Linked DNA regions of Daphnia pulex. The protein of the gene in region 1 interacts with the protein of each later gene in a biochemical or structural test. Links are inferred from orthologs where the notes say so. Each region holds a gene or a part of one and is shown on either strand. Other genes may lie near its edges.

Region 1 (10,921 bases):
TTGGGTTATCCAAAGAACTTCAGACTATTTTGCTTAACTATCCGGGGCTAGAAAACGATACAAAAATAGCTACGCATTTAGACCGATTGTTGGTTACACATTTCACCTGTCCTGACCCGCTTAAACCATGGAGAGAGGGTAATATACCAAGATTGCTAACTTATTTTTAAAAATTTAATTTTGTAATATGTTTTTTTCTTTTTCGACACAATAGGTCTGGCGAAAAAATCTTTTAATTATCTTCTTCTAGACCCGAGAGTCACGCACAATCTGCCACTCAACGAAACCCAGGACCAACAGAAATTGTTCAAGCGCTTTGTATCCAGCATTTTTTACATAGGAAAGGGCAAACAAAATAGGCCGCACGAACATCTTTATGAGGCAATTAAACTTCGGTCTCGACCACAGTCGTTTCTTAAAGTATAAAGCTCGGTACAAATCTATTTAGAATATTGGATAACATGATTGCTCTAATTTAGGTAAGCAATAAAGTTAAGCGAATATTAGACATCTGGAACGATGGGTACGGCGTCATTTCAATTCACGTCTTTCAAAACTCTTTGCCAGTAGAAGCATTTTGTCGCGAAGCCGCAATGATAGAAGCGATAGGTAAAAGTTGATTGAATTAATTAAAGATATTTCTATGACGACATAATCCATTCTCTTCATCTTTAGGTCTTAGCACCATCACGAATATAAAGCGTGGAGACTACTATGGAATTTGTACGTCGTGGTCGAACTCGGACAAACGACGCTGGGGATGCCTTCTGCTTTACAAGTCATTCCACATTTTTCTCCACGAAGGAGAGAGACAAATCCGTCCAGTTGATTTATAGCAGCCTCTACGCAGTTCTGCAGTGCAATGTGGCTATCTCAGTACAATTTTGTTCAAGCTCGCGCAGCTGCAATATTCTTGGCAATATTATTATCTCTTTTATCAAACCGTATATTTCGAGGATTTAATTTGTGTTCTTCATTTCGAAGTTTTGATTATATATTCAGGCAACTTTAGTTTCTGTTGTACAGTTTCACTTTTTTATTTCGATATCGTATGTACACACAAAGGCAAATATTTCGCTCAAGACAGAAAAGATTATGAAATACGTCAGAATAACAGTGGAGAGAAACCGAGAAAGGAAGCGAATCATTTGTCTTAAGATAATCGAGTTTCACTTTGGTTAAAATCCAAATCAACTCAATCACTCAGCAACAAATCATCTTTGCTGTTTCTATGGTTTCGCAAGGCTATGGCTGCGCCACCTAGAATGAGAACGATTGCGGGCAACCCTAATCCGATTGCCATGACTAATATCACCATCAGCGAGAACTGATCGCCGACTGGTCTTCCGTGGCCAGTAACCAAGGTCCAAGCTGTGTAATTCGAAGCACGATAAAAACCGTCACCCTCAACGCCAAAAGACACATTGAAACCCTTCATCAATAAAAAGCGCGTATCCAAATCCAATGATAACCACTCCAGGAGCGTGTTGTCAAGAATATTATCGTCCGAAACATTTCTTATTTCAGTTTGGTAGAGGCCAGTGGAATCTCCGATATCACGTTGAGTTGAGGTGTAGCACACTGGTCGCCATTGAATCCAGTGTTGATTTAAGGCTGAATGAACTTCCATGAGCTACAAATAAACGCAAAATTTGATACTTCAACATTTAAAAAAATTCATATGAATTACTGGGTTACCTTAAAGACGCCAGGAGTGTATTCATCGTCTAAGCTTTGCGAAACGTTGAGAGTAAACCGACTATCAGGTTCGGATACAACAGCTGCCAATTCCATGGCCAACCGTGCGTTGGTAAAAGATTCTTTAGTTTCTACGTGATCGAAGACGAAGTCTACCTGAGTGGAATTCTCTGTGAAGGCTAAGTGAGGCAGTATGGGGCTTCGACCTCGAGTTCCATATGCTGTTAACTATTTTGTAAAAAATGTTATCATAAAATTTTGTAATGACAATTAAACTGAAGTTATAATTACAGTTATCTCAATGTTGGAAGAGAAATCCAGTGCTACTCCATCATAGCTGCTTAAGCGGAATGCCACAGAAGCAGAAACATTCCCTGAACAGTTGGATGATTTGAGTTCCCATGACATCTTCTTGGTACTGTATGAAACGATGTCAAAGTTGTCTGTTTCTGGAATCACACCAGTATCATTGAGATCATTATACATAAAAAACTGCAATAAGAGTTTAAGTAGTTGTAAGGGTGTAAATTTAAGTATTTGTATACTTTGAATATAAGAACTGCAGCAAAATATTGTGGTTCCTTGTTAAAGCTTATGGCTTGACTGTAGTTTCCTGACAACATCTTTTCCCAATCAATCAACATTTCAGTATTCAATTCTGTTCTGGCGTAAAAGAAAGTGGGAACATTTTCCATGGTCCAAATGTGATGGAGAACATCAGCAATTCCTTCTTGTTGAACATGAACAAGAGTGAAATTCACACATTCATTTGTGGGGCATTTTGGGTTTATTGTAGTGGTAACCTGTAAACAAAAAATGATTTATTGCTGTGTTAAGTAGCAATGTCACAAATAAACTAGGAAAGGAAGCTTGAAAAACAAGTGTAGGTAAACAAGATATTTACATTACGATCGTAATTTTTTTGTTCACCATCCAAGAACGTATAGTAGTCTGCAGATAAAACCAACACAAAAAGAGGTAATAGATTTAAAGCAGCAAACACCAGTACTAAATTAGTCATTTTTCTCAAGCCATCAATTCAATCCCTTGTTCATCTGTTAAAGTTCAGAACCAATTTGAAGGACTCGAATTATCACAAATCTCAAAGCCAGCAGACGCCCACTGAGTCATTTGATATAAATTCCTAGGGATAGGGAACTTCGTTACGCAATACGAAACTCCTCGGGGTCACTGTAAACATGCAAATCATGATAAATAATAAATTTACATAAACATAAATTTCAAATAAATAATATTATAAATTAATTGAAATTAAATTAAATTAATTTTTAATTAAATTTGACAACGTTGTCCTTCTTTTTCTCTGATTCTTTACTCATAGAAATTTGTCTGCTAGTGCCCAGAACTGTAGAGCGTAGCCGTAAAATATTTACTGGCGACTCTTGGAAATCAAGTTTTTTACTTTGTTGATCGATTAATTTACAGTTTAAGAATATGCTTGCCCTACGTGGAACATTGAATGGCGCCCTAGTGAAGTCCTTAGGGATTAACAGCAGTGTCTCAGTACCGTCGAGTTTGTCCATGACTTCTATCGTACTGAAACGGAATCAGAGCACCGTTCCCCAATCTGGAACTGAAGGAAATGGTAATTTTCCTTCCATTTTAGGCATTTGAGATCACTTCTTACTACCAACATCTTATCTTTGAATATTCTTAGCTGCCCTGGATAAAAAGAGACCATACTCTCCATTTCAAAACACCAACAATATGGCAGAGTATGCAGTTGCCCGGCTTGATGATCTTCTCAATTGGGGAAGAAAGGTAAAAATTAAAGATTATGTGAAGTTAATCATTAAGGATTAGCTGGAAAAATTTTAATATTCAACTTTCGCTCTCAGGGATCTTTATGGCCTCTGACCTTTGGGCTTGCCTGCTGTGCTGTAGAAATGATGCACATTGCAGCTCCGCGATATGACATGGATCGGTATGGTGTGGTATTTCGTGCTTCTCCGCGTCAGGCTGATGTCATAATTGTAGCTGGTACACTTACCAACAAAATGGCTCCTGCTTTACGTAAAGTTTACGATCAGATGCCCGAACCTCGTTGGGTAACCGGAACACTTTCTCACAGATATTAGGCATCATGAATTTATTTATTTATCTCCAGGTAATTTCTATGGGAAGCTGCGCTAATGGTGGTGGCTACTACCATTATTCGTATTCTGTTGTGCGTGGTTGCGACAGGATTATCCCAGTTGACATCTACGTCCCTGGCTGCCCTCCTACTGCCGAAGCGCTGATGTACGGCATCCTTCAGTTACAGAAAAAAGTAAAACGGATGAAGACTATTCAGATGTGGTACAGAAAATAAGCAAATGTGTCATAAGCTTCTGAAATTGTAAAGTTGTATCAACAAGAGTGGTGGAAATAAACCTAGAGGTTATATTAGAAACACATGTATTGGTTCAACCACTTATTAGAAAACTAAACGTTTCGCTAATGAACCTCCCTCCCCGTTGTCCGTCACTTTACGTTTTGTTCCGCTTTTGTCGACTGCTGCTTGACTTAGAGATGCAGGTAGAGGTAGAGATGATCCTGGAGCTGGAGCTGGTTTATTGCTGTTAAGGAAGAAACTTAGAATTTTATATCTAAAAATTAATCAAAATACATACCTGAAATACGGCATTTGCAAAGCTTCGCTACAAGTACACCTGTCTAAAGGATGCAATGCCAAAAAACGACTCAAAAGCTGCAGCAAATCATCTCCGGCGGCGGTGAAAATATGCCGCATTGGAATCACGGGGAAAGCCTTAAACTGAACAAAATCTGGTAGCGAAAGCAGTCCCTAATCAAGGAAATATGACTAGAGTTTAAAGGTGGGAGACGGTTGAGTTCAAAATTGTTTTATGTACTTACTGGCCAATTCTCTTCGTTTGGAGTGCCCAAAGTTGTAAAAATACGTGTAAGTTGATCTAAGTCAGATTCTCCAGGTAAAAAGGGGAGTCGAAGCAAAAGTTCAGCCATTATGCAACCTACTGCCCATACATCAACACCGGTACCGTACATTCGAGCACCAAACAACAGTTCTGGACACCTAGTTTCAGGTGTGATCAATTTTAATTTCAGCTGAATATTTATGTTGCATTTCTTCAAATTACCTATACCACCTCGTCACAACCTGGTGAGTGTAGATACGAGTGGGTGATGCAAACGATTTTGCCAAACCAAAATCACCAAGTTTCAGTATTCCTTGACGATCAACAAGAAGATTGTTAGGTTTCAGATCCTAAAATGGTAGTTGAAAAAAAAAGAATGTGCATACTTCTGTCATAATGTACAGGGGAAAAATATATATTATTATTATTACTCTGTGAAGAATAAATAGAAGATGGAGATATTCAAGTCCTTGAAGTGTCATAAGAATGTAAGCTTTAATGTGTGCTGGAGTGAGAATGATGGTTGTGTCCTTGATTATTTGCTCCAAATCAGTATCCATAAAGTCAAACACCAGAGATACATTAGAACGGTGACCAAAGACATCAAGTAAACCAATTATATGGTCATGCTTGAGTTCTTGGAGTAACTTGATTTCTCTCAAAGCTGTTCGATTGATTCCATCTCTAGCCTCTTCTCGTGAACCCAGTTTAATCTTGAACAGAAATAGTGTTAGTATTTTATAAACGAACCGGAAACGCTGAAATGAAAACACATTTTTTAAACCTTTTTAACGGCAACTATTTTGTTATCGTTTAGAGTATCTTTCGCCTTGTAGACTGTCGCAAACTAAATTACAAAATAAAACAGTTGAACATACACAAAAGACAGTGCCAATCAAAACCTTACCTGTCCTTCTCCCAAAAATTCAATCTTTTCATATCGCTGAAGTCTAGGTTCTCTTTCTCCACTCACGTGCATTTTTCATTCATACACTCAAAGTTTCTTTCAACTTTTAATCACCCGTCAAGAACGATTATTTTAAAATGGAATTTCACTCGTCAACAGGTGGCGTGAAAAACTATTGTTTATCTTTCTATTACCACCGCTAGATCGATCTGTTCTACAAAATGTTTCGGATTTTGACATCTCAAACCTGCTTCAGTTCTATTTCACATGTGCTTTATCACTAAAAATCTGAAACTTCTAAAATTCACGGCGAATAAAATGGGAATTGCAGATACGTAGTAAAAATGCCGAGTAATAAAAAAGGTTCTGAAAATGATGAACCCCAAATATAGACAGGCTGACCATGGTGAGTTCGAGTTGACTCCTAGAAAAATTCCCTCGCAGAATGTTGTAATTCGACTGATTCGTCGAGAGACTCATGTCAAACCCGGAAACTATCACATTTGCCGATCATTTTATCAAAGTGTTGTCCCAAATTTTACAATTGTCAACATAGAAAAGCCACCATGCTATTTGAGAAAATTTACACCCAACGGCAAGTACTTTATTGCATTCTCTTCAGATCAAACTTCAGTGGAAGTTTACAAATATCTTGGACCAAGTGCAGTAGAAGATTTACTTACAGATGTTCCAGGAACGAGAGAGTTTGTTGGAAATGATACCAATGAAGCTGTAAATTTAAGAAGTAAAGTATTTTCTAAATTCTTCCAGTTAAAGCATACTATTGCTGTAACTCCTGTTGGTGAACAACTAAATCGCGAATGCAGTCTCTTTGTCGGTGACGGAAGATTTGTTATTGTCGGTTCAGCCTCGTACGTTCCCGAAGAGCCCCAGCCAAATTTTTTTGATATTTTCCGTAATAATGAATCCGTATCTCCTCATCCTCGTTCTCCACTAGAAGATTGCTCACTTCACATCGTTGACATCGTCAATGGAAGGCTCTGTGATACTAGAACAATGAAGACCGACAAAATCTTTCTCTCACACAACCAAGGACTTTACTTGTATGAAGACACTCTAGCAGTTCTCTCTGTCCAGCATCAAACGATACACATTTTTAAAATTTCACACGATGGCTATTTTGCTGATGTAAAAACTATAGGTCGATTTTGTTTCGACGATGACGAATGGTTAATCAATCAAGTACGGGGACTTTGGCCTTCGGGTCAGTTGGTTCGTCCGTTTCGAGAGGCAACTGTCAACGCGCTCAAGCATCGTTTACTAGTGTTTCTCTACCGACGAGCAATCAACATGGCTGAAGCCGAAGGGAATCTCTTTCACGTACGAAAGTTCTATCAGAACTTTGATCACATTCGCGCACTCCGAATCTGGAAAATGCAGTTGTTGGATGAGTCACATTTGCTTCTGAAATATGCTAGTGAAGATGTGGTTACACTACGAGCTCCAGACCCAAATACGCAACCGGCCTTCTTTGTCGTTTACAATATGGAAAACGCACAGGTATCTTGATTATAATTAAAAGAAAAAAACTTAATCCCACGTATTATTGTTTTACAGGTTATTAACGTCTATGAAAACACAAGTCAGGAACTACTGAACTTGTTCGAGAACTTTTGCGATTTACTACGCAACGCAACACAAGGATCACCGTCCAGCAACGTATTTGCAAACGTCATTCATCAACGATTCAAGCAGACCATTGTCAGCGCTCGCTTTGGTGGGCAGACGGAAGCCACAAAACGACTTCTTTCACAACTTCCCATTTCAGCACAATCCTATTCCTCTTCGCCTTACCTTGATTTGCAGCTGTTTTCCTATGACGATAAATGGGTTTCGCTCATGGAGCGTCCAAAGACTAGTGGAGAGCACCCCATTCGTTTCTACGTCCGTGAATCTGGACTGCTGCGGTTTCGCATTTATGCTGGTATTCTTGGCCGGCCAGCTCCGCCTTCTTCTGCCCGTCGCCTTGTTGCTTTCACGTTTCATCCAACAGATCCATTTGCCATAAGTGTTCAGAGAACCAATTCCGAATATGTAGTCAATTTTCACGTTCGTCACATTTAAATTCATGATTTAAAAATACAAATCATTTGTGCTGTATTGAAGTGGTGCCACTGTATGTATTTCATTTTTTTAACGGGGGAAAGGAGTCTAACTAGCGTCTTCTGATTTACGGAACTCCTGGTTATTTCTCATCATTTCAAGCGGAAAAAAAATGAAGAGAGGCGGTAAAATAGTAAAGAGCGCGGCCAAAGATTGAGAAAAAAATGTTTTAAAAAAGATTTAAGGGAAAAAAAAAAAAAAAAACTGATGCAGACACCGAAACGTAACACGATCATGAAGATATTACACCAAATTGTATACAAACTGCCCGATACCAAATTCATGCCCGCGAACGGTTAAGACTTTCAGGTGATGTTGCTCTTTTTACATAGCAGGACTTGCCAACTTGCTCTGAATGATGGATGTTTTCCTGGTAGGAACAGATTCCGGAGTTGGAATGGCATCCCCAGTTGGGTGTCCAAGATTGGCAGGTGGGATTACTGCTGTTGTTGCTGCAGTTGGTATTTTAGCTGGTCCTTTTTGTTTTGCCATTTGGTAATCTCCAGAGTCAAAGTACTTTTGCTACAATAAAATTATAAGTGAAATAGAATTAGTTGGTAAAACATTTCAGTTGGCAGATTGCATTCAAACTTTCTCATATTATTGCACAATGGAAAGTAACACAAAACACAGCCAAAAGCAATAACAAAATTAGTTGTTTTAGATAAAAAAAAAGTTTGCTTACGCCTTTGGCAAGTCTCTTTTGCAAGAATGCTGAGTGTCCAGTTACAGGGCGGGCATTGTAACGAGCTTTCAACTTCTCTTCTTCCAATTTCTCAATATCCCTTTGAGAAGCCTATTATGAAATATATCAAAAGATAAATTGAACATACTGATTTCAACAAAATCACAATATGACCAAACAATTTAAAAAAACCAAAAAAGAGAGCATGTAAAGTAAACATACGTGCAGCATAGACATGTTTACACGAGCAAAACGACATGCACGAGTTACTAATAGATCAATTATGTAAAACCAAAATCTATGATTTGCAATTACCATGGTTTCGGTTTCTTCGTTGGATTGAGTGACTTGATTTTCCTTGGGAATGGTCGAACTTTCTTCGCTAGCCATGTTGACTTGTGCAGTTGCTCCGAAAACGGTTTTATGCTGCGGACTCTTTCTCCAGTCCCCCTCGACTTTCTCAAAAGAGTAAAATGAATGCAGAATGCGACGTTGCAATACCATTAAGGCAATATAGGTACGAACGTACTGGACGACATGTAATGGGTTGGGGTTGGGAGGGAATGGATGGAAATTGAACTAGGCTACTTTATTCCTGCCTTATTTATTCCAAACCTTTTTTTTTATTATTTTGATATTTTCTAAGTCTATTTCCTAAATTTTATTAGTTGTTTGCTATCAACTGCGCCTTGAGATTCCATTCATTATTGCCATGCTTTATGACCACCAATATTCAAACAAATGATATATAACAAATGAATTATTTCAGCTCACTGTAGAATTTTTATTTATTTATTTATTCTTTTATTATAGAAACTTTGTTTAAAAAATGGTTGAAATTTGTTTTAATAATTGTATTTTCGTCGATTCGTAAAATATTATAAGACAAGCAATTTGTTTGATAATTGAAATGCAATTAATTTATGTCATCAAACAGTTTTTGCAGCTGGTATTTGCTGTTGGGCAGGCGGGGGTGCAACCGGTTGCGATTGAATTGGGGCCTGCTGTTGGACTGGAACCTGCTGTTGGACTGGAACCTGCGGTTGGACAAGAGGTTGTTGCTGAGCAGGGATTTGCTGTTGCTGAACCGGCTGCTGAGCGATTGGCTGTTGTTGTGGTACTTGTTGAATCGGTTGTTGTTGCTGAGATGCTTGTTGGAAATTCTGTTGTTGTTGCTGAGCCGGTTGCTGGAAATTCTGCTGTCCAGGCTGAGCGAATTGAGGCTGTTGCGGCTGAGCAGCATATTGTGGGTTAGCAGCATACTGTTGTTGTGGGTGACCAGCATATTGCTGTTGCTGAGCGAACTGTGGTTGTCCATAATATTGTTGCTGCGGAGCAAACTGAGGTTGTTGTGCATACTGCTGTTGTTGCATTCTAATCGCCTCTTCAGGAGTTATCTAGAATATTTACATTTTGATTGACTTTAATTTTTCATTTTTATCACACCCTTAATACTGAATCCATAAAACTAATGCAATGCATTAACAATGAAAGACGAAAAACAAACAATTTAACCTACCGGTTTCCCCTGAGCAACAGGAGAAGGATAGTAAGGTTGCTGACCAGCATACTGACCAGGTGCTACACCATAAGGCACGTTGGGCATTCTGGGATGGTTTGGCATCATACCAGGATGTGGAGGTAGCTAATACGGACAAGGGATATGGAATAGACATACATAAGACATGCTCTACGTATGAAGTACGACAAGCTACAAGGCAAAAATTGGCATGATACGCAAAGGGATATTCTAAATTAATTACGCAGTCTAGCCAACAAGAAAAGCTTACATGCATCCGCCGGGTAGCATTGAATAAAATATTTATGTAGTACATACCATTCCTTGGTCAATCAGTCGTTGGATTTCCATTTGCCGTTGATGTTCAAATTCCATGTATTCTTGCTGGCTGTACACTGGCTGCTCGTCAATCGTGTTCCAACCAGGATCACGCTCAAATTCCTGTTTTCGAGTCTGCTCTAAAAACTCGGGAAATCTGAAAAATATTACAACGATCGAAATATAATTAAGTGTAACGGATTTTTTTTTCATGTAAAACAAATTACGAAATTAGGTAGTCTCGGTTAGTATCTGTTTCATTGAAGACATGTTCGCGCATCCTTTCCATCTCTTCGTAGCGTTCAGCCATATCGTCTTCCGGAGCATTGGGATCATAAGCTTTGTCCAATTCTTTGCTAAAAAGAGCTTTGACTTCATCAGGATCCCAATAACCGTTGCCATCCAAATCTGAGTGATGCAGAACAATTAAAATTTGAATAAAGAAGAAAAAAAACAAACAAAAATAAATTGTTAAAACTAAAAACTTACCATGCAAAGCAAAGAAAGTTTTGGGGTTAAAGCTGTCAGGTGAAAGATGGTCTTGTTCTTCCCACACTTCTTCTAATTGTTGTTTGCTACCTGGATGATGCATCTAAAATGAACACATTGAAAAGCAGATTAAATTTTCTGTATGAAATGATAATATAAGTTCAAAATATGTACTTTGGGATGCTGTTTATGTTTTGCTTGTGCTTCTTCCCATGCCTTTTCTTCTGTTTTTCTTTTCTCTTCATCAAGACCCTTCAGTTTGTTCTGATGTTCAAACTCCTTCT
Region 2 (10,221 bases), on another chromosome or scaffold:
TTTTTCGACTGACACGTCTGAGTATTGCTATTGCCATTATCCTGAGTTATAACTGAGGGTGGGAATACCCTATCTTACACCCTACCTTAGTTAACCTCTAGGTAATTTGTTGGGTATTCAGATATGTTTAATCTGCACTAGGTCCAGCGCTATTTTACTTAATGTGACATGCGGTATGAAACTTATTGTACTTGATTGTGGAATCATTAAAATTGGTTTCCTTACTTTCCTAATTATATGTTGAATTTGGACTGCCTTTTGATCTAAATTAAGCAAACAAATTGAAGAAATATTTTGATTGTAGAAAGCAATTTTGAGTTTTAGATATTGTTGTTTCATCACCTATTTGAATAAATAGAATATTGCTATGAGCGTATATATAGAACGACGCAATCGCAATGAAAAAACTTAAAAACCTGAATTAATCTTCAGATTCCTACTTATCCGATTTATTTTATTTGTTAGGATGCCCGGTCAGAAGACCAGGCTTTCGAAAAATTAGTCATATAGACTCATCAATTGCTCCCAACCACGGAAATCTTTAGTAAAAGGCGAAAGATTTATCCGGGTGTTGATTGGAAACCAGAGTACTTTTCAGAGGAAAACTTCCAAAATATATACCGTTGCCCATCTCAAGGGAGACTAGCGAAATTTGTTCTATTTTGAGCATTCAAAACAACAATCCGTTTCAAAATACTTTTTTTTACATATAAATTTCTGTTAGAATGAAAACCGCTACACAAAGTTCACTTACCAGTTTTGAAATATTTCTCTTTAACTAATGTTAGCTGAGTAAAAAGTTAAATTTTAGGATAAAAACTATGCTTTAGCATTGGGAAGGCAGTAGGAAACGCCCCAAGCATTCTAAAGGTTGGGCATGGGTTGGAAAAGGGAGAGGGACGTACACGTACGACGCGTACGACCAATTTTCTTATTATCCACTTATTATTTACAGAATTTGAAAAGGATATGAAAATTGTTGTTTTTTTCAAGTTTTTCTTATGTTAGAATAAAAAATTTGAAAACTGTTAAGTAATTGAAACTATTGCCATAAATTTGATCCGTCAACCTCGCGAACGAAATCAGTATTCGCTACTGCTGTGCAATAACAAATATGGCGCTTTTACGGTAGAAATAAAATATAAAACAATTTTTTAAAACTTTCCTAATATCTAGAACCAGTTTTTTTCTAAATATGTTTTTAATTTTGTTTTTATTAGTACCATCTTAAAAAATACTACCCAAACCCGGCTACTCACAGCAGCTCCGGTCAAATCATGGTAGATGTTTTGGTGAAGGATGATTTAACATATTTTAACGTTTCCCCTTATTAATTGCTGCAGGCAACACACTGTGTCAGCCTCTACGTTCGGAATTAAAAGCGTCGAAGCTAATCGTGCTAAACCCCTTTCAAATGAAAATTTTGAAGATAAGAATAAGAGGTTGCAACGGCCAATTTCTCCCCATCTATCTATTTACCAATTCCAGTCTAATATGGCTTTGTCCATTACACATCGTTTTACTGGTCTTGCACAAAATGGACTGATGTATGGTCTAGCTATTGGTAATTTCATCAATCAATCTTTACATCAATAAATATGTTTTAATATGCTTTATTTGTAATCTGATAGGTGCCATGGTATTGCCTGCATCATTTCCACATTATTTGGGAATGTTGGAAGCTGCACACCTTCCACTTATTGTATTGGCTGGGAAGTTTCTCATTGCTTTTCCATTTTCCTATCACCTGATTAATGGAATGAGACACCTTGTGTGGGATACTGGTTTCAACCTCACAATTAAGGGAATTCAAAGCACAGGGTATGTTGTCCTTGCAGCTGCTGTTTCATTAGCATTATATTTGACATCCCTTTGAACACAGTACATGCAATCCAATAACTGCATTGTATTTACAGTTTGATTTGTGGGTGGGTGTGAATAAAGGTAGTAGACTGTTACATAAATAATGTGTTTTCATTTGAAAATATTTGCTTTGTAGAAGCTCAGTTCCATCAGACTTTCTTTTATGTCATCCATGGCTCTATGAGTTAAGGATTTTGGGGGAGCATTTTTCAAAACATCTGGATACCACCTCCTAATTCCAGATGTATTTTGCTAATGATTTAAAAAAAAAAGTTTAAATTAATTTATTACCTTCCCAATTCCTTGATGGTTGAAACATCTATTATCCGGTAGTGCAGATGGTTTATGAGTTTGGGCATGTACTTGTACAGAAATCTTTTATCTTCACCAATGGAATTCCCAGCCAGCGGGCATTCTCCGGGGTTAGTATAACGACCAATAAAATCAACAAGCTTTTCTTGAGCTTCTTCAACACTGATATTACTATTTCTACATGCTTCTGTTAACCCAGACTGAAAGAAAGTAAGTGTTATGATTTGGATAAACAGTATTGAATGAATTATTTGAAACCTCTCCATGTGTTTTTTTACACCACTCTCCCTATATTATAAGATAGAATATATAATATAATATATAAGAATAATATAATATAATAGATATAACCATTCCATCTAAGATGCTATCAGGTTGATTAATGATGATGTTAGGACCTTCAGCAACAATGTTCAAGTCTTGATCAGTGATAAGACAAGCAGCTTCAAGAATGTGGTCCTTGGTGTCGTCCAACCCCGTCATCTATAAAGAAAATTAGCTTATAAAAAACTAATTTTTGACTTGTTCCTTGGAAACCAATTCACCTCTAGATCCATCCATACGATTCTGTTTCTAGCGGCTAACGCTGCGTTGGTCATTGTGCGAGCGTATATGTAACGTGAAACCAATCTCAAATTATTTGTAAACATCCGGAAATTAACGGTACGTAATCTAAATTATTATTCTTTTGAAAACTCTTATATAGTTAACCTTGCCTTGTCTCTTTTCAAGATACCTAGCAGACGAAAAGCTATTCAAAATTTGGTGAAGTAAAGCTACATTTTCATTTTGTTAAAAATTTTCATTTTTTTTTTAAATTGTTAATTTTTTCTAAAAAAATCGAAATTTTAAATCAGAGATAACCTAACAATCGAACTAACCTAACAATATCTCTGCCACTAAGAAAAGTATAGTTATAACAATCAGTCTTTTTAGTCTTAATTTTTTTTCTTTCTTCATAAAGAGTAGAGACTAGAGAGTATAGAGTAGAGACCAGTAGAGACTAAAGAGAAACCCAAGAAACATTGAATGGTCATGTACAAAACAATTTCTTTTTGTATGCCACGGAAATTTACAGCAAAGTGCTAAATTGAGCTTCAGTCAGAGCTTTTTGGGCAATAATTAATTTTTCACTGTATCTTCCATTTATTCCATTCGAGGACGCTTCTTCGGTTTGGAGGGTACGATTGCAGGTCTATTAAGTTTGAATTCTGTGTTACATGTGGTACAAAGAATGCTGAATTTGCAGAAAACTAGAAACAAGCAATAAGTTACTGAAAGTGAAGAGTAATGATAAAAACCATTAACTTACTTGAAAGACAAACAGAGCAGACCCATCCAATATCAACTAGTTTGTGGTGGCAGAAGCAAGCTGCTCTGTAATCAACTTTTGTAGGAGGTGGCAAGACAATTTTGGATCTACAAGATGGACCTGGAAGGAAAACCCACAGCAAATACTCCAGTAATCCAACAACAGTAGGAATTCGTAAGTATTGCCCTCCAGTTATGTCACAGCCTTGTTGTAGTAATCCAGAATCAGTATCCATCATGCAACAGTCAATCACAACATTCTGTAAAAGAGAAACATTCTTACTATTTTCTTAAAAAATATTGATTTTAAAGTAAGCATATTACCTCTTTCTGAGCTGTGAAGAACACATTCATAAAGGTCATGTACTGCAAAGCACTGTCAGAACTGCCACTAACAACAAGTATGCGTGGTTTTAACTGATGACTCAAACTAAGTTCCCTTTGAACTTTATGAATGTGGCACAGAGCACGAGCCATAGCTCCCCCTAATAATGAGTCTGATGTAGTAGAATCATGGTCAATTGAATCTTTCAAGATTAGCTCTGAAAGGCCATGACGAATATCGGAATCAACTTTTGCAAACATGTCATACTGCCCAGGTCGGTTATGGTAGGATTTAGAATTCCCATTTTCGGAAGGGTACAAAAACTTTCTATTAAAAAAATATATAAGATGGTCATTGTCTTATGAATAAGTCTTGTAAGATAAAATTTTTTAAATCACTTACGTAGACTTGCTGTTGCAGGCAATGACTGCCAGTTTGTTGTGAGAGCCTTGCATCAAGTGGGCATTTCCAAATCCAATCAAGGCATCAAAAATTCTATTCATCATTGTAGATCCATTATCAATTATTGCTTGACTTGCGAATTTTTTGGCAGGAGTAGCATCAATCACAATCGCCACTAACGGAGTTTCAATGCGCTCTGCAATCACAATTTAGATATTTTAGCCACCACAATTTTTTTATAACAAATGAAATTCTACGGTTCACCTTCTTTATCTTCCATTTTGCATGAGATTCTATTCTATCTAATCTTTAAAAAAAAGTGGAATTAACAACTGGAAGGAAGAGAACACTACTCGATGTAAACAACAAGTTTTAATGAAGCCTCTTCTCAGTGTTTCGGTTACAAAATTAGGCCCGGCCGGCCTGGCCGCCTGGCGGGCTTGGCGGCTGGCGCATCGCCGGCATCGCGCGTTCAGGCCACATCGCCCGCATTTATAGGTAGTTGGAAGTTGGATACCTGTTGGATGTAAAATTACATTTTGGACATGTGTAGACCTAGTGACGCAATTATTTTCATTTATGAAGACTATACCAGAAAAATGCGCGATATAGAAATATCATGAGTCTTTCATAAAGCTATAGTGGATAAAGAAAAAAGGAAACGACAATTCAAATATCCCACACCTTTATTTGAAAATGAGGAAATAGCACAACATAGTACGTAAGTGAGTTCTCCCCTCATTCTCTCCCCCCTTTCCGCTTCCTCTTTATTTATTTGCTATATTTGTCTGGCTACGGCGCGCGAGCCTAGGCAAGGTTATCTTTCATTTATCTTTCTCTCTTTGTTACTTGTATGCATGCTCTCTGATCGCCCTCTACTGGATTAAAAACCCTTCCTCTTATATTACACAAAATCTCGTCAGTAGCGGGCGGGAAGAGCTTGCCATCAGGGCGAACTACTTAGGTCGTGTCAAACTCAGTCTCTGTATTGTGACTTGTGTGTGTCTATGTGTTAAAAAGGCTCCAGTCTCATTTCTACCTGTTGCCTCTGACAAGAATTGGCCTCCCGTACGTCGTATTGACCGACGTGACGTAAGTTTTATTTTGTTGTTGGACTGGAATGTCATTATCATCATGTGTAGGAGACACGCCGATTTAGTAATCGTACGCTCTATCGGATGAGAAATCACACATAAAAAGCTTTCGTCTCGTTATTGGTCGTAACATTGTAATGGTTGAGAGAATGAGAACAAAAATTAGGAAGTGGAATCTGCCGACCACGTGTAATAAAATTCTTGTCTAGCCCTTATTTTCTTATTTCCAGGTGATCGGGAAGGGATATTACTGTGCCCATGTACACAGGGATCCTAAGGTCGCTATGGCAACCAACGACTATTGTGAGCCAGATAACGAGAGCAGCTGCAGCAGCGGCAACGGCAGTGCGCAATCGCCGAGCTGCAGTTCCACGAAGAGAGCTACGTCGGCTGACCAGTTGTCGTTGATCACCAACAAACACACTAAAGCTCTAGCGTTGAAGAGCTTGTTTGTGGAAAAAGTTCGTGGCGTCAAAGAATTTGGACAGCGTTTGAATAAACTCGGCCGTCATCTGTCTACCTCGGATCAATCGGAGCTCGCTGCAGGTCCCCGTCTCCTTTCCATTTCGTCAATCGATCCCGACTCCGAACTGCCTCGCCTTGTTCGAACCAACGCCTTCAAAGTGAGTTGTTACCCTAGTTACTATACTGTAAATAACACACGTCAAGAGCAAACGTCATGTTTCAATTTTGGTTTAAATTAGGCCAAACAACGAAACTCACTTACTCAATCGACTTTATCTCCAATCACTCCTCATTGCAGCAGTCCGAACCCCTCTCATCGATCTCCAGACGGACAGCAGCTAGAATCTGACTCGGATCGTTCTAATACATCGTTTAGAACTACGTACAGTTTTGACGCATTTAGTGCGGCTCGAGTGGAGGCCAACAGCCAATCTAGCTATCCGGAACCAGTGCTGCAAGACGCGGCACTATCTGATCAACAACAAGCGTTTCCAGTTAATATTGATTTATTAGATAAACAAAGGAACGACGAAAATAATGGATACGGAGATGATCGTAATCCGGAAGGCACCATCGAAGCCCTTAACGTTGGCTTGTCAAACGATTTGCCCTTGTTGCTAATAAACGATCAACCTCTGACGCTCGACGATCAGTCCCGCTACGCTAAGGTAGAATTCATAAATTTTTTAAAATAATGTGACATTATTTTCTATATTGTGGACGCAGCAGGAAGATTGGAATGGAAACTTGGTTGATGACTTGAGCGACTTGGGCGACTTTGAAAGTTGCAGCTCGTCGATTCCCGAAGATAAATCGGCTAACTCTGAATTAGAGAATTCTCCGTTTTTCCGAAATCGCAGCAGCTCCGACTCCGCAGCAATGGGCAACAAAAGTAGTTCTAGTCAAAAATCCAAGGGGCGGCTTATTTCGAATCCGCGGGTTGGAACCGAAAATGGTGGAACCGAAACCGAAAAAGGACCAAACCCACCTTTCCAAAATGAGGTTCCAAACAACAGTGGTTCGTCGTCTACACTGTCGGATGACAGGACAAGAGATCAACAAGAACAGAATTTTTCACCTCAACGATTGTCCAAAGTTATAGTTATAGGGAAGTCGTTAACATCAGAAACTCTCTATGCTGATGTGGACGAGCCTGAAGAAGATCCGTCCAGTTACCAAGACATCGCTCATCACCACACCTGGACGTGTGATGAAAATCTGCTGATCGTTTCCGAGACATCGGATAGCATTAATGTACCTGATCTTCCATTGGACAGCAATACCGAAACTTGCAGTTTAAGAGAAGTCTCAGAATTTGAAAATGCTGGAACTGTTTCATTGTCAAGTGGTTTTGAACAACCGACAAGTGATAATATTGAATTGGATGCTGATACTTCATCATATGCAACAGAACTGTGTTCAAGGTCAAATGAAATAGAACAGTTACAAATCAAGGACAATTTCCAGCAGTTTGACAAGAAGTTTTTTGCCAAGCATGAGAAGAGTTCCTGCGCCCAAGTAACTCCACATCAACATCTTGCTAGAGGACAGCTAAATTATCTCTCCCTCGAAGTCCCCAGTCTGTTATTCTACTACGCTGCAGCAGCAAAATATCATATTTTCAAAATATATGCTGAGAAAAACAAGTCAGTAAGTTTGATTTTGTGGTCATTTGTTAAAACTTGTAGATTGTATGTTTAATGAAGGGCTGACAAATTTTTCCTTGTTATTTTCTAATACAGGCAAGCACTACAAAGATTGAAATTGACATGCCAGATATGATGCACCTTGGAGGACATGGAGGCTCCTCATCGGGGCATAACAATAATGGAGCTAATAGATCTTCTAATGTGCCCAACAATGGACAACCATTTACTCTTACAAGGCATAAGAAAGTGGAAATTCCAGCCACAGCAATTCTTAGTCACACTCAAAATGCCACTAGACGCGAGCCTAGTGATCTCGGAATTCCGTATCCTTCCAGTAATTATTTTTTACTTTAAATGATGTGTACTATCTAACCATTTCATAATAATATTTCTTTTTTTTTCCTCTTTCTCCATAAACTTTAGCTTCTGGAGAAAAAGAATCTAATGTGTTACGAAAGGTGGCAAGCCTTACGTATGACTTGGCCATGGAACAAAAGCAACAACTTAACTCACCAAAAATGCGTTCTTCACTTGAACGACATGATCTCAATTCCTTAGAAAATTTTGAAGGTATAAACTTATTCAATTTGATGTTAAACATTTATATCACCGGATTTGATTATAACACAGGGCAAATGCTTGTTTCAAATTTACTCTCTTCTATTGATGAGGATCATTACTTGAGGCTCCTTATTAGCAAGCCCGATCTGAGGCTTTTGATGAGTCATTTTGTTAATTATTTATTGAATATTGGCATTGTTTGCCCTTTGGAAGATGGGCAAATGTGCGACAAATTTATGGTTAGTCGGCCTAATTGTGCAATTTCAGACCTCCTGAATGTTTTGTATCGGAATAACTTGCATTTTTTTCTCAGATGGATCGAATGTATAGATGGGGTAGACCTGACATGAATAGTAAAGGAACTCCTCGATGTAAAGGAGAGTATTTATCCATACAAGAACATTTGGCAGCGTTCCAACAGGCACGACAAGACCATGATGCGGAACTTCTGCGAATTCAAGCTGAATTCCGTCATAAAATCAAAGAAATGGAGGAAACGATTGCCAGTTTAACTAAAGAAGTCACTGTTCTTAAAAACCGGCCAACTCTTGAACCTCCACCTTACGTCCCACCTCCAAGGTTGCAACGAAAAACAAGAATTAATCATGTCAAAATTTGATGCATCATGATTTATTGTTTTTTTTATTAAATTGTCAAATTGTTACAGTTATTCATCGACTGCTCCACCTCCACCGCCCCCTCCACCCCCATTCTCGTCTTCGGATCATTTCCGGTCCGGGGTTACCCCCGCTCCACCTCCGCCTCCGTTTCCGACATCGTTAGGGGGACAGGTACGTTCATGATAGCATTTTTTTACCGCATTGAGATTATTTTTCGCTATTATTAATCGATTCGATAGCCGCCGCCGCCGCCGCCGCCTCCTCCGCCTCCGATGATGGGAGGACCACCACCCCCACCTCCTCCACCCCCAATGATGGGTGGACCACCTCCTCCACCTCCTCCTCCAATGATGGGTGGACCACCTCCACCACCCCCTCCTCCAATGATGGGGGGTCCACCTCCTCCTCCTCCAATGATGGGTGGACCACCACCTCCTCCTCCAATGATGGGTGGACCACCACCCCCTCCGCCTATGGGTGGACCACCACCCCCTCCGCCTATGGGAGGACCACCTCCTCCTCCTGGTAATTAATATAATAAAATAAATTTGATAAATTAAAAAATAATATAAAGCATTTAATAATTATTGAATATTTTTTCCCGAGAAAAAAAAAATAATATTTTTCCTTAATTTATTTTCAAACGGTCCCGGAGGTCTTGCTTCTCCTCCGTCGCTTCCAGCTCCACCTCAAGGAGGTTGGAATTTCAACAAACCCGTTGCCCGAAAGGTAAGTCGTTATAAAACTCTTTGCCGAAAAGAATATTTAGAAACATATGATTTCTTTAGAACCCAGTTGATCCCAAGCTACCGATGAAACCTTTATATTGGACAAGGATTTTAATACCATACCAGCCCCCGATGACTGTCACACCAAACACAGTTGACAGCAAGTAGGTTTTGTTGATCCAAAACGTTTCAAAAACCAATCAAGCATACTTTATTACTTGTCTAGCTCGACATTGTGGGATAAGTTGGAAGAGATCGCTCCCGAAAGTTGGGATGACTTTTCTGACCTATTTTCGCGACAGGTTGTTGTCGCGAAACCAGTGAAACCAAAAGCAGAGAGTAAACCGGTGAAACAACAAACTGTCAAAAGTGAGTAAAGAATCAGTTAAATTCTGTTGTGTTGGTATTAATATTTATGTTTACTCCATTTCAGTTTTGGACAATAAGCGGTCTCAAATGGTTGGTATTTTAATATCGAGTCGCCACTTGGATGTCCAAGAAGTGGAAAGTGCCGTTTACAACTTAGACACCTCTGTGATTGACCTCGAGACTCTTCAAAAGATTTTCGAATTACGAGCCACGGAAGATGAATTAGCTACAATGCGCATAACTTTGGAACAACAGCCAGATGCTATCATGGACAAGCCAGAAAATTTCCTACTCGAGCTGGCCAACATACCAAGTTTTTCTGAGCGTGTAGCGTGCTTTATGTTTCAAAACAGTTTCTTTGAAATTCTCACCGCCATCTCAAATCCGCTCAATAATCTCAAAGTAAGTATTTTAAAATCTAGTAGTGAATGTTTTTTATTCACATTTTTCCCATGCTTACTTTATTTTGGAATTTATTCTCAGCTAATATGTGACAAATTGATGACGAGTGTCGAAGTTTCT
Region 3 (11,161 bases), on another chromosome or scaffold:
CCTCAATGTCGGCAATTCAATTGCGGCATGGAAGCCTTTAAGAATTCATTTCCCTTGAAACGGTTTTTTAATTATTACATCGAATTGTTATTTGGATATTAATCATTGCGTTTAATTTTACCTACTAATCAATCTGTTAAGTCAACCTATTTCATGTATACATTTGTAAAAGTGTAGAGTTTCAATATGAACGTATAACAACTAAATAGGTGGATTCTGCGTGATATTTTTTCTTGGCAAAACCGTGTATTCAACCAATACGCGTTTGGACTGCTTCCATGATTACAGTATATCACTTTATATTTGGAAAATAATGGTCACATATGCATCTGAATAACACCAGTTGAAGGAAAGGCATCTTTAGGAAGAAAAGAATATTTCGCTAGAATCGCCAACACAACATAATGGAAAAGAACATTGATGGAATACAGCACGGTCCCTCTGCTCAGGACTTCCCCCTGGCTTCCATCGGCAGTTCGACTGGCTGCTCATGAATGAGATACGTCCATTATTCATGCTGTTAGCATATTATCCATCTATCCATTAGCTAGAAGAACCACTTTCCTCCCCCCACCCGTACAAGTACAATAAATGTAAGCTACACATTGAATTAATGATTTGACAGTAGCTTTTTCGAGACTAAATTAGATTTAGATCTTACGCGTGAATCGATGTCAACTTCAATCGCCGCCTTTTCAATTGAAACGGGATGATTTGGTTGCGCATCCCACTCCAGAGTTGATTTACAGACAAAAAAAAACCCAGTGACAATTAAGCCACTTTCGTTAGCCGCCGACATGTCATCGACATTCGTACAAGCAGATCGTCTTATTCGAGCCTTTCCTTTCATGTTCTCAACAAAGGCCTTCCGGTTGTACCTACATCCAATTAGACATCAATGAGCTCACGTGCCTGTGACATACCAAGGAAAAGGTGGAATATATATGCCATCTTATAGGCCCAGTTCTATTACCAACGTGTGCAGTTTTCATAAAGCGATTATCGATCTTTTCATTCGGAATATAACGGTGACGGCTGAAAGATCACATGCGGAATGGAATGGATACCAAGGGAAAACAAACAAAAGATTTCCGTAGAATAGCCAAGAGTATCAATACCGATTCTGAAAACTACCGAGCCTAACATTCTCTTCGCTACCTTTTATGTCCGGTGGCAATTAATTTCATGGCTGATGAACGATAGCTAGAGCACGACTTTGATATTCTGATTCTGACGATGTGTTTGACGTCACGTTTTTGAACAAACTTTGAAACCTTTCACGTTGGTAACCAGTTTTTTCTCGCAGTCGAAACATTTTTTTTTTAGTTTAGGAGAACGACAAACCGATAACAAAAAAGAAAAAAAAAATCTATTTCTCCATTTCATTATTCGCCTCTTGGTCATACACGATATTTGATGGGCTGGCTCCCTTTTCAACCTTTTCTTTATCGAGACACACCTCAGATTTGCCGTCTTCCTCCATCGCCTCCGTCTTATTTTCACTATGAATTTCACCATTTTCTTTATTTGTAGCGGCCGCAGTCTTATTACGGTCTTGAAGTGCAATTCTGACGTCATCTCGAGGTAACAATGTCAGAACTTGGTCTGCTGAAGGATTCGTTTCCTTGGTGAGCCGTATCAATAAGAACTGGATGTTTTTTCTTTTCCTTCCGGCAATATGAGGTGGAAACCAATTGCTTAGTTTTATATTCCGTAAATTATAATCCAGAAATGGACTCTGAATTGATGAAATAAAAACATTAATTCAGCAAAATAAAAAAATTAAATAAAAAATTTTTAACTTACCATCATAAAGTATTCTGCGTATTGAAGCACAAATATCCCGCAATCGTACGAGTTATTTTGTTGAGGCACATCAAGGCATGCCGATATCATCGAGTCTTTAGTAAAGGGGTTGGTTGACGGTTTAACGGCGTCCCTTCTGAAAGCAACAATTGATTTCTCATTTGGCTTCATTTTCTTTACTTGGTGTTCCACCATTAAATACTCGCGAAGAGTCGTAGCAACTCGATTGTGTGCGCTTCCCGCCAATGAATCAAAAAATAAGATGCAAGGCCTAGAATACAAGAATAAAACATAAGAATGTCGCATGAAAAACACTACACTAAAGGCAAACTGTAAAGCATTATTAAAAGACAAAAATGAATTTGAATTACTGTTTGATAGGACCAGCAATCTCTGGCAATTTTTCTACTGGAGTGCGGTCGATTGCACATGATAATTCTTCTTCGTCGCTCTCAGCTTCGTCTCTTTCTGTGTCAACATTCAACGTAATCTGGTCATCTTTGGTCGACTAAAGAACGGATAAGAACAAGCAAACAGAACAAATTGGTTCGTTTATCATGTCGACTCGTTTAAACTAATAAAGGCAGACATCAATACCTTTGAATTTGAGTTAACAGGCGTAACTGTGGTATTTCCTATGTGAAACGATTCACCGTTCACGGCCACAAATGACCTCTGTAAGTCGGCGGTTGTTTTCTTGGAGTATGTTTGTTGGGGGCGAAGTTTGATGGGTTGATTGTCTATGGCGGTCACCGGTCCTGATAACCAAGGAAAACAGACAATGGCTAGAAACCAATGGTTACGCTCGTTGATGGGTATCACGAGATAATCCTTTTCAAAAATGTCCACTTTCTTTGTCCACGATTTAACTCTCGAATGACGTTTCTCCTTTATCGAAAGGGAATCGTCATCTTCAATTGGATGTTTCCTGCGTAAATTCATCTCTAGAGTAATTACACTTCAAAATGGTTGTTGTAATAGATTAAGAGCTTGTACCGTCCATTGACTTTGGGTGGGCGAGTCGTTAACCTTTGGTAGAAAAACGATGAAAATACGTGGCATTTCTTCTTCAGACTTTCATCAATTTTAGTACTGAAAACGTATCGAAGATAAAAGTCGATGATACTGCAAAAGAAAAACAAAGCAAATAGTTAAAGGTAATTACAGAAAAAGACAACGGTGCAATGCCAAATTTACCTGTCATTTAGTAGATTGTCCTGATTTAAACAAGCATAATCTTCAGTGGTTACTGAGAAGCGGTCGGGTCCATCCGACCAGGAAAACATTGGAGTCACTGGCAAAACAGTTCTTGCGAGAGATTTACTGGATCCCCTGGTTATTCGTATCTAGAAGAGAATGAAGACTGATTTTAGGCACAAATTCGGCTTTCAACTATACGAAGTACACACTTAACCAATAGCGTAGTTATTGGTATTAGCATTACGACTACTTACTTCAACTTTGCTAGTGTCGTCTTTGCCACCATTCAGTTGCGTTTCAGTTGTCGAAACACTCGTTTCTGCTGATACAGCAGTGGTCGCGGGGAGACGTTTAAGCGCATCACGAACTTCTGGGGGTGAGGAAATAACCAAGAGCCGGTTGGCCTCGGCCTGATTAATTTCGTTGTAAACACCTTGAGGAACGAAGACTTGTTTGATTGCGTTCTTCGCTGCATCGTCCAACCCATCGGGCAGCAGTGTCAATCGTTTTTTATTTTCGTCTTCGCTAGCAGAATCCCAATATGGGCCACTTTTGGGTAACCCTAATTTTGTTGAAAGCTGGCGACACCAGCTTGGACCAACATTTAGGAAGATGACTTGAAGCTTTCGGCTGAAAAAAGCGTCCACTTTTAATAGTTGCTGACTTGGGATAGCTACATTGACGCAAACAGCATTTTTTTCTGATGGCCCATCGTGGTTGTGAAAAACTGGAGCTTGCAGCATAATTCCTTCGGATGAGAATAACACACGTCCCACTGGAGTAATCTTATATGATCCAATACGAACAGATCGGCAGTTTACGGCAAAGAAAGGTCCATTCAATCCACCTTCTTTCCAACGGAGCAAATCACTAGATCCAATTTCCTCTTCTGCATCAATAGGCAAATCCATTGAGACACCATTTAAAGGTTCACCTAGAAGAAAAACAAAGAATTTAAAAGAAACAAAAAGTAAGATAAATTAATAAGAAAAACCAGCAGAGGAAATAAATGTGTTTAACTAACATTCTTTAATATTTGGCTGTTCTTGAATCACAATTGAAGGTTTAACATCCAATTTTTCAGTTGATTTGTCGGTACCATCACATTTGAGTTTTTTGGTTTCCTGAAAGGAGTCATCATCTTCATCGCTACTCAGTGTTACACACTGTGGCTCCTCAAATTTGGCTCTACTCTGTCTTGAAGGTTGAGCATTTTGAGTCCGAGTGCGTCGGTAGCCATATGATGAATCATTTGACATCTGAGAGATTCCGGATGATTTGTTTCCAGGTAATGACTTAAGATTTGAAGTGAGAGGTACCGTTTTTTCTTTTTCAAAGACGCGCATGCACCTCATACATTTATTAGTGGAAACCAAATGTCCACAGTGGGGGCAATTAGCACTATCTGGATCTGGTGATTGCCCACTGCATTTCTCTTCTGAATTTGTCTCTTGTTTACCCTGTACAAAAACACAGTTTACTTGTAATAGAAAATGTAAAAAAAGAAACAAAAACTTACTGTGATCCCAAGTTTCTGAGTGGATTTTTGATTGATCACTTTGTGACCAACCTGTTTTCTGTATTCTTGAAGTGTTATCTTCTTGATGCCCTTACTATTTGAGTTATGTTTCAGTAGTTTCGGTTGAATGTTTTCAGAAACTAAAACAGCCTTAATCTCCGGTACCGAAACTGACCGCTGGTTTGAATTGACACTAAGTTCGGACTTGGAACTCGATTCCCCCATACTAATTATAAAATCTCAACCATCTGGACTGAATATCAACAGTTCTACGTCAGTATGATTTCATCCTGATTTACCTGTCACATGTGCTATCCGAAAAGTACATTTACCTATGAAGGCTATGATATATGACTTCGTTAGATCTGTGCAGTACCAGCAGTATTGACTGTCGTCTCATGTGCTCTCCCGTTTCAACTAAACTAAACCAGGTAGGCCAAGTAACGACAAAATACTTAGTGGCAAGTGGCGCTATGGTACCCCAAACAATATATTTGAATTGAATAATTATTTCAGAAATGAATGATATAAAACTACATAAGATAATTAATTTCCTTAAATTTATTGAATTTTAAAATGGATAACTTTGAAAAGCCATAGGCCTATTTTACATTTAATGAAAACATTTGCGAAATACTTTCGAATCAAAGGATAGATGGCGTGTAAAGACTCCCAAACTTGTTTATCCATGCATTGCAAAATTTCCTCTGGTGAGTGACGCAGATGAATTCAATTTAGGAACAACATAGTTGGAAAGAAAGAACAATTTACCTGTTTTCTATCTCATTGAAACGTTGTAGCATTGTTTGGTTTAAGGTGCAATCGTTGTTTTTCTTCTTCAAAAAAGTATTCAGCAAGCAATTAAAACATGTCGGACAGCGAAGATAGTAATTTTTCCGATAGGAAGGAAGCCCTCAGTGATGCTGAAAGTTCGGTATGGTTTACACATTTCCATTTTACTTGACGAAATCTAACCTTTAAATTTTGAAGGATAATGACTCTGGTGGCCGTAGTCACAAAGCAGTAAACAAGAAATCTCTGAAAAAAGACAAATCCAAAAAGAAAAAGAAAAGGGATAAAGGTGCAAAAAAAAGTAAACGCCATAGAGGCAGTGATTCAGAAGAAGAAGAAGATGACGAAGAAGTTGAAGAGGAAGAAGAAGATGAAGATGAAGAAGAAGTTAATGGAGGAAGAAGAAAGCGAAAGAAGAGTGATAGATTTGGTGGTTTTATTCTGGAGGAAGCAGAAGTCGATGATGAGGTTGAAGATGAAGAAGAATGGGAAGATGGAGCTGAGAACTATGGTCTGGTAGGAAACGAAGTTGACGAAATGGGGCCCACAGCGAGAGAAATTGATGGGAGACGCAGACAACAGCAAATGTGGGAGTAAGTTGTAGATAAACACAAGCTTTAACACATTTTATCCAAAGTATTAACAATACATTTTCTCTCTACAGTAGTTCAAAAGAAGAGGAAGTAGAGGAATATTTTCGAAAGAAATATGCAGATGAAGCTACTGTTACTAGACACTTTGGAGATGGTGGTGAAGATATGACTGATGAAATTACCCAGCAAACTTTGCTACCTGGAGTCAAGTACTGTATTTAATATTTTTTTTTTTTTAAGGAAAGAGTTAACTTACAATTCTTATTTCAGAGATCCAAATCTGTGGATGGTCAAGTGCAGATTGGGAGAAGAGAAGCAAACAGTATTTCAACTGATGAGAAAATTCATTGCTTACCAATTCACAGAAGAACCATTGCAAATCAAATCAATTGTGTCTCCTGAAGGCGTCAAGGGATATATCTATGTTGAAGCTTTCAAACAAACCCACGTTAAGCAGGCGATTGACGGTATCGGTAGCCTTCGCATGGGTCTCTATGCCCAGCAGATGGTCCCAATCAAGGAAATGACCGATGTTCTACGAGTTGTAAAAGAACAGAGTGTAATGAAGCCCAAATCATGGGTTCGTCTGAAGCGAGGCATATTCAAGGATGATATTGCCCAAGTTGATTATGTGGATGTAGCTCAAAATCAGGTTCATCTAAAATTGATCCCACGAATTGACTATAGCAGGCCACGTGGAGCTCTACGAACTGCTCAATCTGATGCAGAAGCAAAGAAAAAACGCAAAATTCGTCCACCGTTAAAACTGTTTGATCTGGAAGCTATCAGAGCAGTCGGCGGAGAAGTTACAAGTGATGGCGATTTCCTTATTTTTGAGGGGAACCGATACTCCCGTAAAGGTTTTCTTTACAAAAATTTTTCTATGACCGCGATCCTTGCCGATGGTGTTAAACCTACATTGATTGAACTCGAGCGTTTTGAAGAGGCTGTAGAAGGGGTTGACATGGCCGTAAGTGTTATTCCAATTGTTTTTTATTTTTAATATTTAGGTCCTTTTCTGTCGTTAACTCATAATATAATTCTTATCTAGGTTCGAATTGTATCGGGTAAAGAAGAAGCAACCCATAATTTTGCTACAGGAGACGCTGTCGAAGTTTGTGAAGGTGAACTTATTCATCTCCGTGGAAAAATTGTGGCCATTGATGGCAATAAAATCACGGTCATGCCGAGACACGAAGATCTCAAGGACCCCTTGGAGTTTCAGGCTCACGAGTTGAAAAAGTATTTCTCGATGGGTGACCATGTTCGCGTCATTGCCGGCCGCTACGAAAACGATACAGGACTCATTGTTCGTGTTGAGGACAACATGGTTGTACTCTTTTCAGATCTTACAATGCATGAACTTAAAGTTTTGCCCAGAGACCTACAGTTGTGCTCTGACATGGCAACAGGAGTCGACTCCATGGGCCAGTACCAGTGGGGTGATCTGGTTCAACTTGACGCCCAGTCTGTTGGTGTTATCGTTCGATTGGAGCGGGAAAATTTCCAAGTATGTCTTGAACGATTCTCACACTTTCAGAGATCTAACTCTTGTTTTTTTATTTCATTAGGTTCTAAATATGCACGGAAAAGTTGTAGCAGTCCGACCGCAAGCTCTACAACGTCGTAAAGAGAATCGCCAAGCCGTAGCGTTGGATTCCGAGCAAAACACCATACAACGAAAGGATATTGTTAAAGTGATCGATGGACCTCATTCTGGTCGTCAAGGAGAAATCCGTCATCTTTATCGCAACTTCGCGTTCCTTCACTCCCGAATGATGCTTGAGAATGGTGGCATATTCGTTTGTAAAACTCGCCATCTTGTATTGGCCGGCGGTAGTAAAGGTGCTGCTTCAGGTTCACCAGCAGTATCGAGTTTGGGCTACATGTCACCCAGAATTTCTTCACCCATGCACCCGAGCGGAGGAGGAGGCGGGGGAGGGGGAGGAGGTGGAAGAGGCGGTGGACGTGGAGGAGGAGGTGGTCGTGGAGGTGGGGGTGGTGGATTTGGACGAGGTGGAAGAATTGGGCGAGATCGAGATTTGATTGGAAAGACCATTAAAGTTACACAAGGTCCATACAAAGGTCACATCGGAATTGTCAAGGTAAATTTTTGAAAACGTGTTTTTTCCCCTCTAGGAAAAGAATAAAGCATCTTCTTTTTTCATCCTTTCAGGACGCAACAGATTCAACAGCCCGCGTCGAATTACATTCTAAATGTCAAACAGTATCCGTTGACCGAACTCGAATTGCCGTTGTTGGAGGACCCTCCAAATCTGGCGCTGTTTCTACGTACAGCCAAACTCCTGCTTCACAGGCTGAAGGCCGTGATACACCCATGTATGCTTCTGGATCTCGTACTCCGATGTATGGATCACAAACTCCACTGTACGATGGTTCACGTACTCCTCACTATGGTGGTATGACACCTTCTCATGATGGATCCCGTACACCTGGACAATCCGGAGCTTGGGATCCAACCGTTACCAATACACCTGCTCGATCGACCGACTATGGAGATTTGGACAATTGGGATGATCAGTCTCCTTCGCCAGCCTATAACCCGGCGACTCCTGGGTCAGCCTACCATGTTGACACTCCACAAGGACCCTACACCCCTCACACACCAGGAACATCCTACGGTTCAGATCACACTTATTCACCCTACCAGCCCAGTCCGAGTCCGGCACCTTATCAAGCCTCACCGAGTCCATCCGGTTATGCTCCGACTCCTAGCCCAAGTACTGGGTTGCCATTCCATCCATCACCTGGAATGGCTTCAAGTTATACATCGCCATCTCCCATGAGTTATAGCCCTATGACTCCGGGTGTAGCTCCGTCACCTCTCAATCCTCAGACACCAGGGGCCGGAATGGATTCGTTGTCTTCTCAGGACTGGTATACCACCGACATAGAAGTACGTTTCAAGGATTCGCATAGTGATGCGGGACTCTCGGGACAGGTAATATTATTGATACTTCATATTAATTCATTTTCTTTTTCACTTAATAAATTAATATTTTTTAATGTGTAATTTTAGAGTGGTATCATCCGTGGCATATCTGGTGGTATGTGCTCTCTTTTCTTACCGGCCGAGGATCGAGTTGTAACAGTTGCTGGGGAGTTGTTAGAGCCCATCGTGCCAAGTCGGCGAGATCGAGTCAAAATCATTTTGGGAGAAGAAAGAGAAAGCTGTGGCCAGTTGCTTTCTATCGACCACCAAGAAGGCGTTGTTAAACTAGAATCTGGCGACGTTCGAATGTTCCAGCTGCGGTACCTTTGCAAGATGACGGCACGATAAAATGACCAGTTGCGTATTTGCGGGCCCCGACTTTACTTGGAACAAACAAACAAAATTCTTCACTTTCATTTGGGCTAGAAATTCACTGTAGCTTTGATGAGTTATATTGACGAGGGAACTTCAGAATGAAATGCCAATCGTTTTCATGTAACTGCTTGAAATAGTACGGATGAATACATGAAGTTTTCGAATACGGATAATAAGCAGTTTCCCATACATTCACATTGATTTTTAAACTCGAAAATTAAAAAAAACGGATAACAACGTAATTTATTTATAACAAAATTTATGAGCATTGCGTATAGGTAGTAACAACATTTCCGATCTTTTGAGTAACTGTTTTACATCCTGTCCCCTGATGTAAATCATCTGTGAAACCAAACATGGAATCCATATTATCAAATTGCATATCCATTCCACCAAACATATCATCATCATCCTATATAAATTTTAAAAAAGAAACATTTGGTAAGTTAGAATAAAAATATTTTGCTTAGTTTAATAAAACTTGCATTAAAAATGTTGCCAAAATTGAACATTGAGTCTGCTTTCTTTTGATGCTTTTTGTTGGTTGGAGAATGAAACTTGTGATGGAAGTCTCCAAAATGCTGATCAAACTGCATCATAAAATCATCGAAATTGAAGTTGTAAGCAAACTTTGAATGTTGATTCCCATTGTTTCTTGTGCCCTCTGCACCAAAATCATCATATTGTTTCCTTTTCTTGGGGTTGGAGAGTATTTCATAAGCTGTAAAATACATAGCAACAACAGAAATGAAATCTTAGTTTGTTAATTTTGAGGCCAAAAAATGCAAAACAAATGTTACCTTCAGCAATATCTCTAAACTTTTCTTCAAATGCTGGATTTTTGTCAGGGTGATATTTCAGGGCAAGTTTGCGAAAAGCTTTCTTGATTTCCCTTTCTGTTGCCTTGCTATCAACTCCTAGAATATCGTAGTAATTGCTGCCACCGATAGCTTCGATTGAATGTTTGGAAATATGTACAAGAAGAATAACAAACGAAGTTATGCAAATGAGTTTTCTCATGATCACTCAACAAAAGGAACAAGAAAACAAGGAACTCAACAAGGAAAAATGGAGATATCACTGCGAAAATGATAACGTGGATTATTTTGCGTACCTCGAAAGTTCTTATAGTCGAAATTGACTACGTATTTTTTAAATGTTTTTTTATTTATGAGTTGGAATGTGTTCATTCGTCTAGAAGATTGAAGATGCTCCTCCCCTTTATTGCGCAACATCACCTTATCCTTGGGCACATTAGCCGATTAACTATTACACTTCTCTAGGTTAGGTATATTATAAAATTTTGAATAGCTGAATTTCAGGAATAATTATTTAACAACACGATTAAAATAACTTAGATATTTTGTTATTAATTTTGTATTAAACGCAAGGGTGCGTTTTGGAAATGCATGTGTTGATGAACGGGCGATAGATGTCTCCCTCAAGCTTCTTTTCCGACGCATCAAGACAAGGAATTCTCAATCTGCGACGACTACCAGACGACGGTAGGCGATGAAATGCATCGTCCTGAAATCTGAAGCCAATTGCGTTCTTCTCGACTAAAATGGACAAAAATTGAATTCATCTTCCAACGCTAACTTTTCTGTTGTTGAAGAAAAGACGAAGGAAAACGGAACTTAACAGGAGCGTGTGTCGAACCACGCGGAAAGCATCATCACAACTCCCCAGTGCTCTCGAGAGAAACCCCAGGGCTTGCTCAATCGACTAGTCTCTGGCTAGACTTGCTTGCTCTTTGTGCCAGCGCCATTTTGATGTGCGCTGTCACCAAGTCATGGCTCTGCATGGTGTGTTTGCCAATGACCTCCAATTCGGCAAAGGCGTCGATTCTGATCAAGCTCAAGATGATGAAAGGTTTGAGTATATTCCTATCCTACCCTCCCTTCTCTGCCCTTCCACTTGCTT

What was found.
Region 2: the proteins of cyclin-dependent kinase 7-like (region 1) and general transcription factor IIH subunit 3-like form a complex in vitro, tested with the Homo sapiens proteins (2 studies listed by BioGRID). The link is inferred for Daphnia pulex from reciprocal best matches to the Homo sapiens genes CDK7 and GTF2H3.
Region 3: of the proteins of cyclin-dependent kinase 7-like (region 1) and transcription elongation factor SPT5-like, one has a biochemical effect on the other in vitro, tested with the Homo sapiens proteins (2 studies listed by BioGRID, with this or other methods). The link is inferred for Daphnia pulex from reciprocal best matches to the Homo sapiens genes CDK7 and SUPT5H.

Annotation. Positions count from the first base shown.
Region 1 is NC_060020.1:942,555-953,475, reverse strand, and holds cyclin-dependent kinase 7-like, read right to left. Parts: upstream 5,649-10,921; 5' UTR 5,575-5,648; coding exon 5,503-5,574; intron 5,443-5,502; coding exon 5,380-5,442; intron 5,309-5,379; coding exon 5,027-5,308; intron 4,946-5,026; coding exon 4,818-4,945; intron 4,754-4,817; coding exon 4,576-4,753; intron 4,505-4,575; coding exon 4,332-4,504; intron 4,278-4,331; coding exon 4,136-4,277; 3' UTR 4,100-4,135; downstream 1-4,099. Other genes in the region: ankyrin repeat and LEM domain-containing protein 1-like, read left to right, coding at 1-138, 215-420, 480-609, 676-836; glycosylated lysosomal membrane protein A-like, read right to left, coding at 1,196-1,633, 1,699-1,926, 1,990-2,190, 2,244-2,501, 2,603-2,719; NADH-quinone oxidoreductase subunit B 2-like, read left to right, coding at 3,154-3,304, 3,377-3,480, 3,558-3,767, 3,827-4,030; DET1 homolog, read left to right, coding at 5,875-7,023, 7,081-7,587; cAMP-regulated phosphoprotein 19-A-like, read right to left, coding at 7,951-8,148, 8,312-8,422, 8,627-8,701; nucleobindin-2-like, read right to left, coding at 9,241-9,708, 9,831-9,956, 10,149-10,305, 10,376-10,556, 10,638-10,740, 10,812-10,921. UniProt on the Homo sapiens protein: Serine/threonine kinase involved in cell cycle control and in RNA polymerase II-mediated RNA transcription. Cyclin-dependent kinases (CDKs) are activated by the binding to a cyclin and mediate the progression through the cell cycle.
Region 2 is NC_060021.1:11,068,186-11,078,406, forward strand, and holds general transcription factor IIH subunit 3-like, read right to left. Parts: upstream 4,629-10,221; 5' UTR 4,494-4,628; coding exon 4,478-4,493; intron 4,410-4,477; coding exon 4,214-4,409; intron 4,139-4,213; coding exon 3,811-4,138; intron 3,747-3,810; coding exon 3,488-3,746; intron 3,429-3,487; coding exon 3,322-3,428; 3' UTR 3,209-3,321; downstream 1-3,208. Other genes in the region: succinate dehydrogenase cytochrome b560 subunit, mitochondrial-like, read left to right, coding at 1,115-1,128, 1,221-1,280, 1,344-1,564, 1,632-1,876; oligoribonuclease, mitochondrial-like, read right to left, coding at 1,975-2,095, 2,155-2,375, 2,434-2,463, 2,527-2,658, 2,721-2,825; uncharacterized protein LOC124194693, read left to right, coding at 5,592-5,930, 6,012-6,440, 6,499-7,422, 7,515-7,755, 7,845-7,991, 8,052-8,221, 8,296-8,561, 8,650-8,773 and 6 more. UniProt on the Homo sapiens protein: Component of the general transcription and DNA repair factor IIH (TFIIH) core complex, which is involved in general and transcription-coupled nucleotide excision repair (NER) of damaged DNA and, when complexed to CAK, in RNA transcription by RNA polymerase II.
Region 3 is NC_060017.1:4,111,897-4,123,057, forward strand, and holds transcription elongation factor SPT5-like, read left to right. Parts: upstream 1-5,204; 5' UTR 5,205-5,393; coding exon 5,394-5,459; intron 5,460-5,515; coding exon 5,516-5,910; intron 5,911-5,981; coding exon 5,982-6,119; intron 6,120-6,180; coding exon 6,181-6,880; intron 6,881-6,961; coding exon 6,962-7,420; intron 7,421-7,481; coding exon 7,482-8,015; intron 8,016-8,086; coding exon 8,087-8,872; intron 8,873-8,950; coding exon 8,951-9,211; 3' UTR 9,212-9,408; downstream 9,409-11,161. Other genes in the region: sentrin-specific protease 6-like, read right to left, coding at 1,370-1,738, 1,807-2,077, 2,178-2,314, 2,404-2,734, 2,803-2,931, 3,004-3,152, 3,261-3,940, 4,031-4,466 and 2 more; dnaJ homolog subfamily B member 9-like, read right to left, coding at 9,498-9,650, 9,724-9,959, 10,039-10,188, 10,353-10,473; zinc finger CCCH domain-containing protein 4-like, read left to right, coding at 11,031-11,110. UniProt on the Homo sapiens protein: Component of the DRB sensitivity-inducing factor complex (DSIF complex), which regulates mRNA processing and transcription elongation by RNA polymerase II.